Elephas maximus indicus: one gene and its partner. The protein of the gene in region 2 purifies or fractionates together with the protein of the main gene of each other region. This does not show direct contact. Links are inferred from orthologs where the notes say so. Each region holds a gene or a part of one and is shown on either strand. Other genes may lie near its edges.

What was found.
Region 1: the proteins of RBM8A (region 2) and RNPS1 purify together in Homo sapiens (co-immunoprecipitation; 4 studies listed by BioGRID and IntAct, with this or other methods). This does not show direct contact. The link is inferred for Elephas maximus indicus from reciprocal best matches to the Homo sapiens genes RBM8A and RNPS1.

What each region holds. Positions count from the first base shown.
Region 1 is NC_064830.1:59,328,244-59,335,336, reverse strand, and holds the start of RNPS1 (RNA-binding protein with serine-rich domain 1), read left to right. Parts: upstream 1-4,072; 5' UTR 4,073-4,321; coding exon of another isoform or gene 4,322-4,323; intron 4,324-7,093. UniProt on the Homo sapiens protein: Part of pre- and post-splicing multiprotein mRNP complexes. Auxiliary component of the splicing-dependent multiprotein exon junction complex (EJC) deposited at splice junction on mRNAs.
Region 2 is NC_064821.1:157,628,307-157,635,119, reverse strand, and holds RBM8A (RNA-binding protein 8A), read left to right. Parts: upstream 1-4,625; 5' UTR 4,626-4,672; coding exon 4,673-4,739; intron 4,740-5,007; coding exon 5,008-5,067; intron 5,068-5,195; coding exon 5,196-5,273; intron 5,274-5,479; coding exon 5,480-5,616; intron 5,617-5,774; coding exon 5,775-5,911; intron 5,912-6,018; coding exon 6,019-6,064; 3' UTR 6,065-6,220; downstream 6,221-6,813.

The DNA of each region.
Region 1 (7,093 bases), on a different chromosome or scaffold from region 2:
CCCAGCTCCACCCTCAAAGTCGTCTCCAGTCCAACGGGCAGGAAGTGGGGGTACAGAGGGCAGGACTCAGGCTGCACTGTGGCTGGGTACCCCCAGAAAACCCCAGGGCACCAGGACACAATCCACAGTCTGCCCTGAGCATAGAGGGAACTGTGGCTTCCTTGTGGAAGTGGCCCGCACGTGTGCCGCCCAGGAAGCCCACGAATCCCCAGGAAGCCCACGAATCCCCACAGATCAGCAGAAGGGCACTTCCCCCACCAAGTGCCTGTGCTGGATGCAGAGACTCAGAAAAGCAAAACAAACACACTGGTTTCCTGCGGGGCGAATACCAAACCCAATCCTTAATCCAGGATTCAGGGGAGCCAAGAGTCCCAGCAAGCAGATCCAAGGGTGGCATCTGGGGTCTGGGTAGAGGCAGCAGCCAGCCCACAGCCTCCTTTTCCACCCCTCCCCCACTTGGCTTGCTCAGGACCTTGAACACAGAGGTGAGGTGATATTGTCGACCAAGAGAGGTGTCTTAGTCATCTAGTGCTGCTATAACAGAAATACCACAAGTGAATGGCTTCAACAAAGAGAAATTTATTTTCTCACAGTATAGGAGGCTAGAAGTCCGAATTCGGGGCGTCACCTCCAAGGGAAGGCTCTCTCTGTCAGCTGTGGAGGAAGGTCCTTCTTCCTGTGCTCAGTCTTACTGGGGTCTGGAAGCATCTAAGTGCAGGAATCTTGGGTTCAAAGGATGCTCTCTGCTCATGGCACTGCTTTTTTGGTGTTATGAGGTCCCCAACTCTCTGCTTGCTTCGCTTTCAGCTCTGGAGAGAGAAAAGGTGGTGTAGGCCACACCCCAGGGAAACTCCCTTTACACTGGATCAGGAATGTGACCTGGAAGGGTGTTACAATCCCACCCTAATCTTCTCTAACATAAAATTACAATCACAAAATGTAGGACAACCACAGAATACTGGGAATCATAGCCTACCCAAGGTGATACAATTTGGGGGGGACGTAATTCAATCCATAACGGGGTTCCCCCCCATCCGCTCTGAGGCACAGCTCCAGGCAAGGTTAGACCAAAGGCACAGTAGCAGCCAAACCTGACATTGCCAGGGCCAGAGACCCAAGGTCCCTAAGGTCTCAGCTCTAGAGCCCGCAGGTTGGTGGGGGCTCCACCTAAGGGCATTGCTGCCCCAGCTATTCAGTCTACCTTGGGGACCAGCACAATTTGGACCCCATGGCTCTGTGAGGGTGAAAGCCAGGGTGCTTTCCTCCCTGCAGACAGCTACTCCCTGGGGAGGTCCCTTTGCATGCAGCCTGGGCTCCACCCCCCCCCCCCCGTGCAAGGACTACAGCTCCTGGGGGTGCCCTGAAAGGGTCCCTAGAGGGAATCTGAGGTGTTCATCCCACACTGAAGTTGGCTTTCAGCTGCTCAGCCTGTCCCCCATAATGAGGCCTGCCAGCAGCCCTGGGGCATCCTCACCCTCCAGGCAGGAGCCCTACTCCCAGAACCCTGGTGCAGGTGGCCCCTGACCCTCCATGCTGGGTCACCCAGGAGCCTGGGGGCTCCTGCGGCCCCTTCCCTTCCCTCAGGTCAGCCACAGATCTGCCCGGAGAGAGGGCTGGGTCCAGCTGGAAGCCCCCATCCTCACCTGACACACCCACAGGGCATTGGCTTCGGGCAGGAGGAGGGGGCTGAAGCTGGGGGCTCCGGCCCAGGGAGCAGAGGCCCTGCCTTCCTTCCTCAACACACAGAGCTGCCCAGGCCCCACAGCTGCCCAGCAGGTGCCTCCCCGGTGAGAGAAGCTCCATGTTGACTGACAGGGAAGGCCAGGTGTGTATGTAGGCCAGCAAGGTCCAGACCAACAGCCTGAGGGTGAACTATGAGAGGTCACTGGGCCACAGAGGATGCGGGCATTGCGGGCAGGGCATTCTTTGACATGAGCACGTACTCAAACTCAGGGCTGCCCCAAATTGCGACAGGTGACCCTGCCCTGGGAAGGCCCCCTTCATGACCTTCCCCAGGACACTGGTCCAAGCCCGAAGGTGGCTTGTGGCACAGAGCTCTAGGGCCAGGGTGGCTGCCAAATGCCTTGTTCGTGCAAGCCCTGCCCTGCCCCACCCTTCCATCATAAACCCACCCAATGCCACCGAGTGGATTCCGACTCATTCTGACCCTACAGCGACCCTATAAGACAGGATAGAACTGCCCCATAGAGTTTCCAAGGAGCACCTGGTGGATCTGAACTGCCAACCCTTTGGGCAGCAGCTGTAGCACTTAACCACTACGACACCAGGGTTTCCCCCTTCCATCATACCAGGGCCAAAGATCACCCCCCTTGCCCAGGTCCCCCAAGGGCTCCCATGGCATCAGCAGGTTGGCAACAGAGACTGGAGGAGGAGAGCCAGGACTCCCAGGGGACAGGGTTCTAGAATTTTCTTTTTTTCCAAACACACTCTTGCTGTTCCTCAAAATGGCAAAAACCAGGATGTTCACTTTCTAAAGCTCAACAGCCAAAATTGCATGTGTTATAACAAAAAGCAGTGACATTTAGAAACAAACTCAAATCCATGTGTCTAGATAAACATGCTTTTAAGTTTAATACAAAATGTGTTAAATTTTATATGCATGCCAAAGTAATTGACTTTAGATAATTTTTTTAAAGATGAGAAGGGGCACTGTCAGCCCAGCTGTACTCTGTCCTCCACCCTCCTCTCACCATGCTGGGGTCGTATGGCCACGCTGACCCCAGCTAGCAGGTCAGTGCAACCCTGAGCACAGGCTCTGGGTTCCAGAATCTTCCCACAGGCGTTAATGGGTAGCTTCAGGTTTACAGAGTCCTTTCTGCCACTGCCTCCTCACAGACCAACACACTGCTGCCTGCCGGGACCACCAAGCCCACCCCATCCCCCAGGCATACCCACTCTGTTCCAAGGACCTTCAAGTTGGCCACGGCAGGGAATGCGCTGTGACATCCGTCGACGCAGAGATTAACTCGTTCCAACTGTCCCACACCAAATCTAGCACCCATCCCACCCCGAGTGGGGCTGACTCCACTCTGGCTATCGTTTGTCTTCCAACTCCTCAGACGCCCTGTGGCTAGGGGTGATGTGTTAAAGCTGCACTCAACATCCTGGATGGGGCTAGAAAGACTGCGGGAAGGGGTATCACCATCCACTGGCTGGAAAAATCACAGAACAAAGCAATGACTTGCAAACCACGTCCATACCATCCATCCGTCCATCTATCCGGGGTCACCAAGCCTCACCCTGGACTCTTTCCTGTCCTTCCCCGCCCCCCACCTAATGTTACCAAGTCATCTTGGCTCCTTCCTCCAACATAATCGGCTTGCATTTGTCTCCTGCTCTCTTCCTTGTTGCCACCAAACCTGTCAGACAACGGTCACCTCAGGCTGAGCCCACCTTCGCTCCTTCCATGAATAATTATGGAGAAACAACTGTCAGGCACAGAAAGGGGCACTGGAGACACCGAGGGGTACACAACTCCGGCGGTCCTCGCCCTCTCGGCGCCGGGTTTTCAAACTCCAGAGCCTCCGGCCCGGGCTGGCGTCCAACACTCTCCCTCTATCCTTGTCTCTGCCTCCCCTCCCTTCTTCCGAAAACGTGCCTGGCGCCCTGGCAGCTTGTTTCACGTGCTGGGTTCGCCCTTCCACTCAGGCCACCTCCTCGAAGCCCCATCCCCTTCCATCAACTTGAGAATCCTCCGCATTTCTGGCTGCACCGCCCACCTGCCTCGCGCTCCGGCCCGCAGCTACACGGTCACCCACAGAACCACGACTCTTGGATCGCAAGAACCCACGCTCCGTACAGGCCCACCCCTTCCCGCCGCCTCCGGCCTGCATGCACCCATGGCTGGCTGGCCGCGCCCCTCTAGGACCCCCAGCCACCCCCGCCTTCGACCCCCGCGGTCCCCCGCGCTCGGCGCACCCGGCCCACCGCGCAGGCGCACCGGGGGGCGGGGACTCGGCTGCGTTAACTCCTCCCACGCCGGCTCTAAAGTGTGCCCCGCGGCCTAGCCTTCCAGGCCCCAGCCAGCCGCTTACCTACCCGCTGCAGAAAAGGTGCGCAACTAGCCCTGGACCGCGCAGGAGACCCATCCAGGAGGGAAAACGAAGTAGCGCCCCCGCGGCCCTTCCCACAAACGGCCGTGGCCCTTTAACACGACGTCCGCCCGCGCCCATTGGCTGCAGTGTTCTTGCGTCATCGCTGTGCGCCCTAGGACGGCGCCTTCCCGCTCCTTAACCCTGACGACAGAGCGGCGCCAGCCTCGGCGGCTGAGGAGAGCTTGAGGCGGTGGCGTCGGCTGAAGATGTAAGTTGGCTGAATCCGACCCCATCCAAGCTTCATGGGCCTCCCGCCAGGCCCAGCGGGACACATCGTGGAGAGCTGCGCCGCTCCTCAACCCGCGATGATGGCCGCGGCCTGGCGGCGCGGGCTTTGAGGAGAAAGAGTGGGCCGGAGCGGGCGGAGTGGGAGGTGCCGAGGCCGAGGCCCGGAAGTGGTCGGGGCCGCTGGGGTTGGAAGGGCAACAGGACCTGAGAAGCCGGAATGCGGCCTTTGTTCGTGGGCCCTGCCCTGGGAGCGCCTACGGCCCAGACTCGACGGGAACGCGGCCGGGGGTCGGCGAGGCCGGCGGCTGGGGCTGGTGGGAGCGGAGCGGCTTTGTGGGCTCCCTTGAAAGGCCGAGTGACCGTCCCTCAGGATTATTTATCCACAACTTCCCTACCCTCCCTCTGTGAGCGTTAACCGAGCTCTTTGCGCTGTTCTCGGTGCGAGGCGCGGGCACTGAGACGGCCCAGCTCTCCTGCCACAGAACGCAGTTGGGCGGGTTATCCCGGAAGGGAGGCGGGAGGCGACGGAAAGGTTAAGGTCATCGGAGGAGAGACGTAGAACAGGCTGCTTCTGTCTCTATTCTAGCATGAACTGTTCCTAAAATGTATCTTTAAATGGGAAACGGTGCTCTGAAGATTTGAGCTGAAACGCCCTCGCCTCTGCTCAAGACATTACTAATTTGTTCTCTCCTCTCCCTGGCTGTTGGACGCGCACCTTTCCGGAGGACGGGGGAGGTGACCGAGGTCCTGGGCCTGTTACCTGAACTCGTGTGAACAGAGAACCTCAACCTTTGCTTTCTAGCACTCAGCCATACCCAGCAAAGCGTTCGCTCAGTCTGTGGTTCTTGATTTTTAGAGTGCTTAAGAATAAACGAGGGGTTGCGACCAATATCACAAAACAGTATGTGTATAAATTTTTGAATGAGAGGTTAACTGGAGCTGGAAATTTTCACCTAAAGCGCACTGAAAAAATTTTTAAAATCCTGTGGGGTAGTTCTACTCTGTCACATGGGGTCACCATGAGAAGAGAAAAAAGAACTCAAAAATGCAAAAGAAAGAATAAACGATGGTGCTTGTTTTTACACAGTGCGCTTCGAAGACTGGGGCTGTGCTCTCAAGATTGTTAAAACTGGGTGTGGGCGCAAGAATCTGCATGTGTGACCTACATGATGCGTTGCGATGTCCAATACAATAACCACTGGCCCCATGTGGCTCTTGGGCACTTGAAAATGTAACTAGTCCGAATTTAAAGTCTGAAAGAATGTAAAATATTTTTTTAACATTTTTTTCCTATTGATTAATGTTGAAAAGGTAATACAGGCAGTCCCCGGATTACAAACAAGTTCTGTTCCTAAGTCTGTCTTTAAGTCAATTTGTATGTAAGTCAAAACAGGTACAGTTCGTATCTAATGTCAGTCAAAGTATATAGTGTACCTTTTTGTATAAAAAACGTGAAAGAAATACTTCCAGATACACTAAAATATCTTTAATATAATATAGCAATAATAATGATGTTTTGATGCACGTCGCAGAGTAGTGCCTGTTTGTTATTATGAACCATTGTACATAGAATTTTTAATATACCGTGGTTTTTAATTTACAGTACTAGGCTTTACAAGGCTTGGTTCGTAATGTAATATGTAAGTCAGATGTTTATAACCCAGGGACTGCCTGTATAGTTTTCGAAATAAGATGCATTACCAGAAGTTAATTTTATCTGTTAATTTTTTTTTTTTTTTGAAATGTGTCCACTAGAAAAAATTGCATTATGCTTGGGACAGCGCTGCAGTATGGTCCTAAAGTGGGCTTTCCAGGGACCCCTGTTGAGCGTTCAGGAGTTACGTGTGACTTTGGAGACAAGAATATATCTAGGAAGAGAGCCTCCAGATGTGGAGAAACAGCCCATTCTTATAATAATAGCTAACATGTATTGAGGAGCCTTGGTGGCACAATGGTTAAGCACTTGGCTGCTAACCAAAAGGTTGGCAGTTTGAACCCACCAGCTGCTCCAAGGGAGAAGAGGCCTGGCAATATTCTCCTGTAAAGATTTCAGCCTAGGAAACCCTATAGGGTAGTTTTATTCTGTCCTATAGGATCTCTATCAGTCAGAATCAACTAAACTGCACACAACAACAAAACATTTATTGAGACTGGACAATTAATGCCAAGTTTTGTTGTGGATTAATTCCATGAATGCCCTTTATAATTCTTTGAGATGGGCACTATAACTCACCATATTGCAGATATTGAGGCTCAGAAATGTTAAGTGACTTATCCAAAATCACGCAGCAAAGCCTCAAATCAAACCCAGGCAGGCTGAGTCCAGACTGAATTGTACTCACTGCTTGTCCAGCAGCACTAACGTGCCTGCTGGGTGTCTCTGGTACCTTATCATTTTAAGGCAAAATTTTTTTTTAAGATTCTACAGCAAGAATCTACAGAAGGAGGAGTTCTCTTTACTCTTATTTGACTCCAAAGCCAGGTGCTTTCTTTCTTGGGTCAGAGCACTTGTTCTTGTAGCATCCCTGGTAGGGACACTCCTACACATGTGGGCACAGGGTCGGGGTGGTGTGCTGTGTCCAGACTTACTTACAGGGGGTTGAGAAAGGTAAGGCAGAAGTTGGGACTGTTATCCTGAGATCTTTGTGCCCACTTGCAGCAAATTGTCCAAAACCTCACTGGAACTATTAGAGGCAGCAGTCCCCAGGAAATAAGGGCATATAGCTAATCAGTACTTTGTTTTGGGGTAG
Region 2 (6,813 bases):
TTTCAGTTAGCAGCTGAGTGCATAACTACTGTGCCACCATGGTACCTCCTTATTGAGACTAGGAGACACTAATCCACTCTCCATAGTAGGGAGAGTGATCCTTTAAAAATCTGTTGGTCACACGCCTACTAAAACCAACCCCCCCTTTTTTTTTTTGTAAAAATATTCACAACAAAACATATATTCAACAATTTTTACATGTATAGTTCATAATGATTACGTACTTCACGTTATGCCACCATTTTCGTTATCTTTGCCCTAAAATTAAACACTTATGATCGTCAAAAGACTTCACCAAAAGAGCAAAAGAGAACCTACAGACTGGGAAAAAAAATTGTGGCTATGATATATCTGACAAGGGTCTAATCGCTAAAATCTACAAGACACTGCAACACCTCAACAACAAAAACACAAATAATCCATTAAAACGTGGACAAAGGATATGAACAGACACTTCACCAAAGAAGATATTCAGGTGTCTAGCAGATACATGAAGAAATGCTCATGATCATTAGCCATTAAAAAAAAAATGCAAATCAAAACTACAGTGAGATACCACCTCACCTGGACAGTGCTGGCACTAATCAAAAAAAACCAAAATAATAAATGTTGGAGAGGTTGCAGGGAGACTGGAACTCTTATGCACCACTGGTAGGAATGTAAAATGGCACAACCAGTATGGAAAACGATATGGCACCGCCTTAAGAAGCTAGAAATAGAAATATCATATGATCCAGCAATCCAACTCCTAAGAATACATTGTAAAGAAATAAGAGCCACAGCACGAATAGACATATGCACGCCCGTATTAATTACAGCACTATTCACAATAGCAAAAAGATGGAAATAACCTAAGCACCCATCAACAGATGAATGGATAAACAAATTATGGTACATACACACAATGGAATAGTACACAACGATAAAGGATAATGATGAATCCGTAAACATCTCACAACATGGATGAACCTGGAGGGCCTTATGCTGAGTGAAATAAGTCAATTACAAAAGGACAAATATTGTATGAGATCACTATTATAAGAGGTTTACACACAGAAAAAAAAATCTTTGATGGTTACAAGGGAGGAGAGGGGTGTGGAAGGGAAATCACTAGTAGACTAGTGTTAACTTTGTTAAGGGAAAGACAACATACGCTATAGGGGAAGTCAGCACAACTTGACCAAGGCAAAGTCATAGACGTTTCCTAGACACATCCAAACACCTTGAGGGACCAAGCTGCTGGGGCTGAGGGCTGGGAACTATAGTAATGGGGACAACTAGGTCAACTGGCATAACATAATTCATAAAGAAAATGTTCTACATCTTACTTTGGTGAGTAGCATCTGGGGTCTTAAAAGCTTGCGAGTGACAACCTAAGATACATCTATTGGTCCCATCCCATCAGAAGCAAAGGAGAATGAAGAAAACCAAAGACACAAGAAAAATATTAGCCCAAAGGGCTAAAGGACCACATGGACCACAGCCTCCACCAACCTGAGCCCAGAAGAACTAGATGGTGTCTGGCTACCACCACTGATCACTCTGACAGGGATCACAATAGAGAGACCCAGAGAGAACAGGAGAAAAATGTAGAACAAAATTCAAATTCACAAAAAAAGACCAGAGTTACTGGTCTGAAAGAGACAAGAAGAACCCCTGAGACGCTGGTCTCTGGACACACTGCTGACTGAGAACGGAGCCATTCCCGAAGACTAGTCTTCAGACAAAGGTTAGACAGGCCTAGAAAACAAACAATGACACATGGGAGAAACATGCTTCTTAGTTCAATTAAATATAGGAGAATGAATGGGCAACTCTGCTCAAAAGTAAGAAGACAGGAAGAGAGAGGAAAACTGGACAAATGGACACAAGGATCCCAGGGTAGAAAAGCGGAGAGTGCTGTCACATTCAGGGGTTGCAACCGATGTCACAAAATGTGTATAAATTTTTGTTTGAGAAACTAACTTGAGCTGTAAACTTTCACCTAAAGCACAATTAAAAAAAAAATGTAGGGTTGCACAGCCAATTTATGTAATTGCTACCAATAGGTTCAACACCCATAAAAAGTTGAATTGGCAAAAGTTGTGTGTTACATCTATTTACAAAAAAAAGAGAGTAGCTGTCGAGGCTGCTTATGTACAACCAGACACCTCATGGGATTTGGTTCCTTGGTTTGGAGGTTTAGGGTCATGGTTTCATGGACAACCTCGTAAGTTGGCCTAAGATTGTGTTTAGTGCTTCTGTTCTACCTCCCAGTTCATGGTGTAGTGCCTGGGGTTTAAAAAGCTTGCAAGGGGGCATCCAAGGCACAGCGATTGGTCTCTATTCACCTGGAGCAACAAAGGAAGAAGGAAAGTCGGAAATAGGAGGAGAAAATGGAATGCATGGCTAATTGCCTCCATGAACAACTGCCTCCTTTGCCATAAAACCAGAAGAACTGAATGGTGCATGGCTACCGTTACTGAACATTTTGATCAAAGATTCTAGAGAAGAATCCTGGTCAAAAGGAGGAAAATTCTGAACAGAATTTCAAATCCTCATGGACTCCAGACCTTCTGGAGCCTTGGAAGCTGGATGAACTTCTGAAACTATTGCCTTGAGATAATCTTTAAACTGAAAACCAAAAATATCCCTGAAGTCTTCTTAAAACCAAACAGTAGTTTAGCTTAACTAGTAAAGAATGTTTGCCTTGAGCATTATGCTTTTTTAAGATCTACCTATATGGGATCAAATTGACAACAGCAACTGGAAAGATAACAAACTTAGGGGGCAGTGAATTTATGTTAATGGGAGAGGAACAACTCATAAAAAGGTGAGAAAGGTTACACAACTCTAAGAATGTAATGTGTCACTGAATTGTACTTGGAGAAACTGTTGAACTGGTGTGTTATACTGTATATATCCTCAAAAACAATGAAAAAAATCAATTAAAAAAATTAGTAAGTGAACCCACAGTCCATTAGGGTCGGGGGACAGCCCCAGCAAGGAAAGACCCTCACTGTGCGTCCTGGCAGATAATCCGAAGAACTGACATGTAGCCCTTTAGATTCATGCATTCAGGGAAACTTACATGGGCAAGCAGATGCTCTCCAGTGGTGGCCGGCTGGAGTATTTTCCACAACCACCTAGCAAGAGACCCAAGCTTATGTACCATTCCAGCTAGGACCAAGGCTCATTGTTTTCTCCCACATCCTTGGGCAGTCAGTGTTCCCAGGGACTTCACATCCAGGCCCAGGTGTTTTCCTTCTTGTTGCTAAGGCATTCCTCGGCCTTGGCCGCTGGCCCAGTCATTGCCACTCCTGGCCTTGTACCTTAGCCTGAGTCCATCCCGAATTCATCCCCAGCACGCTTTGGCGAAGAGCAAAGCTGTTTCCATTAGGGAGGGGATGCATATAGCTGAATAGCATTACCCTACAACTGGTATTGAAGGCTACATTGCATTCCACAATTTGGGGAAATATGGGTTTTTCCTCAACTCCTAGGTTTTCACAGGTGAAATGACTGCACCATGCACAAAGAAAGCAAAAGCCTATTTCATTTCAGGCCATGAATTTCTTTTAAATTTTATTGCAGTAATATATATATCAAAAATTTTATCATTTTTAACCATTTTTAAATGTAGAATTCAGTGACATTAATTACATTCGTCATGTTGTGCTAACATCACCACTATCCATTTCCATAAGTTTTTCATCACTGTAAATGCAAACTCAGTACCCCTTCAGCAATAACATCCATTTCCTCCTCCTCCAGCCCCTGGTAATCTCAAATAACATTCTTAGTATGCATCCTAGATATTTCATGTAAGTGTGATCATACAACTTGCCCATCTGTGTCTGACTTACTTCACTCCACAAGTTTTCAAAGGTTCGTCCATGTGGTAGCATGTATCAGGATTAAATTTCTCCTCATGGCTGAATAGTATCCCATTGTATGCATATGCCACATTTTGATTATCCATTCATCTGCTGGACACTTCGGTTGTGTTCACTCTTTGGCAATTGTAAATAAACTGCAGTGAACATTGGCGTTCTGTTTGAGTCCAACCATGGCTTTTTCCCCCTTAAGTCTCAAGAGGTGGTAGGGAGTAGTTTATCTTTTAAAAAATGTTAATACCTTTCTGATAATTGTATTTCAACAGCAACCCGACCTTTTAATTTCTTAAAACAGATGTATTCCGTTCTGCAATACGTTCCAAAGCAACTTTTTGAAACAACATTGCTCACTGAACTTTTTTTTAATGGTTCTATCAGATAGCTATCAGATACCTCGTAACAAGGTACAAGACCTCGAAGTATTCTTCCATCCTCATTTCCTAGACAGGATGGAAAGCAATCTTTTAATAAAGAAACGAGGTCAGACTTCACTGTCTGCAGCTGTCCTCCGTGGCCGTAGTGAAGGTGGAGTCCCTGACTCCGCCTACTCCCCCATAGTTTGGCCGTCACAACGCGGCTGAAGCTGCCTCACGACCTGCCCAAGCTGGCTACCGGATCACTTCCGTCATCTTCCCGGCTAAGACCCGCCTCCGTTTGCGTATTTTCACTGCGCCGGATAAGGAATTTAGAGTTGGCTTCTGATTGGCCAACTTGACTGGCGACCTTTCCCCTCCGCGACAGTTTCCCGAGGTGCCTAGAGCCTGGGCGGCACAGACGAGAGCTACAACGAAAGCAGGATGGCGGACGTGCTGGATCTTCATGAGGCCGGGGGCGAGGACTTCGCCATGGATGAGGATGGGGACGGTGAAGACAGCGGAGACGGCTGCGGGGAGCGGGGGAGGAGAGAGGGAAGGGTGTATTACTAAAGCATAGTCTCCTTTCTCCCCGGCAGGGAGAGTGGGAGCTGGGGTCAGAGGCTCCACCCCCTATGGGAGGACTGGGGGTGGGACCGGGAAGGGACTGGGACTGCAGACGGTGGGATCCACACTTTAAATATTGTTTTGGTAAAAGGCCAGTTTTTACAAATGGGTTTTGCCTTTGTTACTCATTCCCTTTTTTTGCTTGGTTCCAGAGAGCATCCACAAATTGAAAGAAAAAGCAAAGAAACGGAAAGGCCGCGGTTTTGGCTCTGGTGAGTATTCGTTGAGAAAATGGGGTGGAGTGGTCCAGGAGGGCGGGAGCTACGAGTTTTGGAGACCCCCATGGGGAACGGTGGGATAAGAGGGGAATTCCTGGTGATCTGATGTGCGTTTCTTATAGAAGAGGGGTCCCGAGCTCGGATGCGTGAAGATTATGACAGCGTGGAGCAGGATGGCGATGAACCCGGACCACAACGCTGTGAGTGAAGTGGAACCTGTGGGGTTCTGTGTCCTTAAGCAGTTAGGACCTATAAAATAAAACCGTGTAGGAACGGGGTCAGAGATAGCCTGAGAAAATACTGAAGTCTGCAGCCTCTTAGCTGCCATAGCTCAGCTTAAAGTTTTTTTTGTTTTTATGTCATGTCCTCAAAACCATCTACGTTCATCTCCCTCCCCCATCAACAGCTGTTGAAGGCTGGATTCTCTTTGTCACTGGAGTTCACGAGGAAGCCACTGAAGAAGATATCCATGACAAATTCGCAGAATATGGAGAAATAAAAAATATCCACTTGAACCTGGACAGGCGTACAGGATACCTGAAGGTATCCAAAATCAAATCTCATTGCCTTCCTTCCCACAGACCATTTTTTAAAACTTAGTTTTTTCTGTCGAAGTATGAGTTTAGATTTGAGGAAAAGGATGTCCAGTAAGTCTTGGTGATGTAGAAGGGTTTTGATATTTGTGTTTTCACATCCTCTAGGGGTATACTCTAGTTGAGTACGAAACATACAAGGAGGCCCAGGCTGCCATGGAGGGACTCAATGGCCAGGATTTGATGGGACAGCCCATCAGTGTAGACTGGTGTTTTGTTCGGGGTCCACCCAAGAGCAAGAGGAGGTAAGGTGGAGAAAGGAGTGACTATCTTGGTAAGGGAATGTGAGCAGAAAGAATAAGGGCTTTATCAGACGTCACTCTGATGGACCCCCTTCTCTCCTCTTCCCTAGAGGTGGCCGAAGACGCAGCAGGAGTCCAGACCGGAGGCGGCGCTGACAGGTCCTCTGTTGTCCTCCTGTTCTCTGTCAAGATTCCATTTGACTGTGCAGCCTGGAGAAATTGGGATGGAACTTACTGTGTTTATATTTAATTTCTTAGCCTTTGTCTGCCTTATGTTTGAGTTGTGAATAAATGTCTTACTTTTATTTTCTATATTTAAAATTGTTTCTCTGCACCAACATTGAAAGCTACAAATTAGTTTTTACAGGAAGGCAGTATCAGTCACTTGTGCAGGTACTCCTTGCAGGGACTGAGTTCCATGTGAGTTTCTACATTGGTCATTGTTAGATTGGAGACACTAATTTTTTTTTTTCCTCCGGACAGCTAAAAGATCAGGCATAGCAGCGAGACGTGCTTATAGTATTAAACACTATTTTTTCTGTTCCTATATATTCTGTTCAGAGCAAATGGATATTGTAGGAATGTCTCTTTAGTTTTTCCTGCCACATTTATTTGTGCTTTCATCTGTCTCAGGAGCATTCTGCCAGACCCTCCCTCCTTGAGGACTCTGTGCCTTCTTCAGCAGCCAAGTATGAAGGCCCCATAGAGTAGAAGATCCAGAGGAGTATTGAGGAGGCCAAAGAGGAAAAGGATGTGGCTGAGGCTGGGGGGAACTTCAGGTAGCATGGTGGGGGAGAACCAGTACCACTGACCCAGCAGGTAATAAGGCATCCAGCAGAGGAAGGTCAGCAAAACAAGGAAGGCAAGTTGTGGGGCCTCCAGGTGGACACGAGGGTGACTAAGAA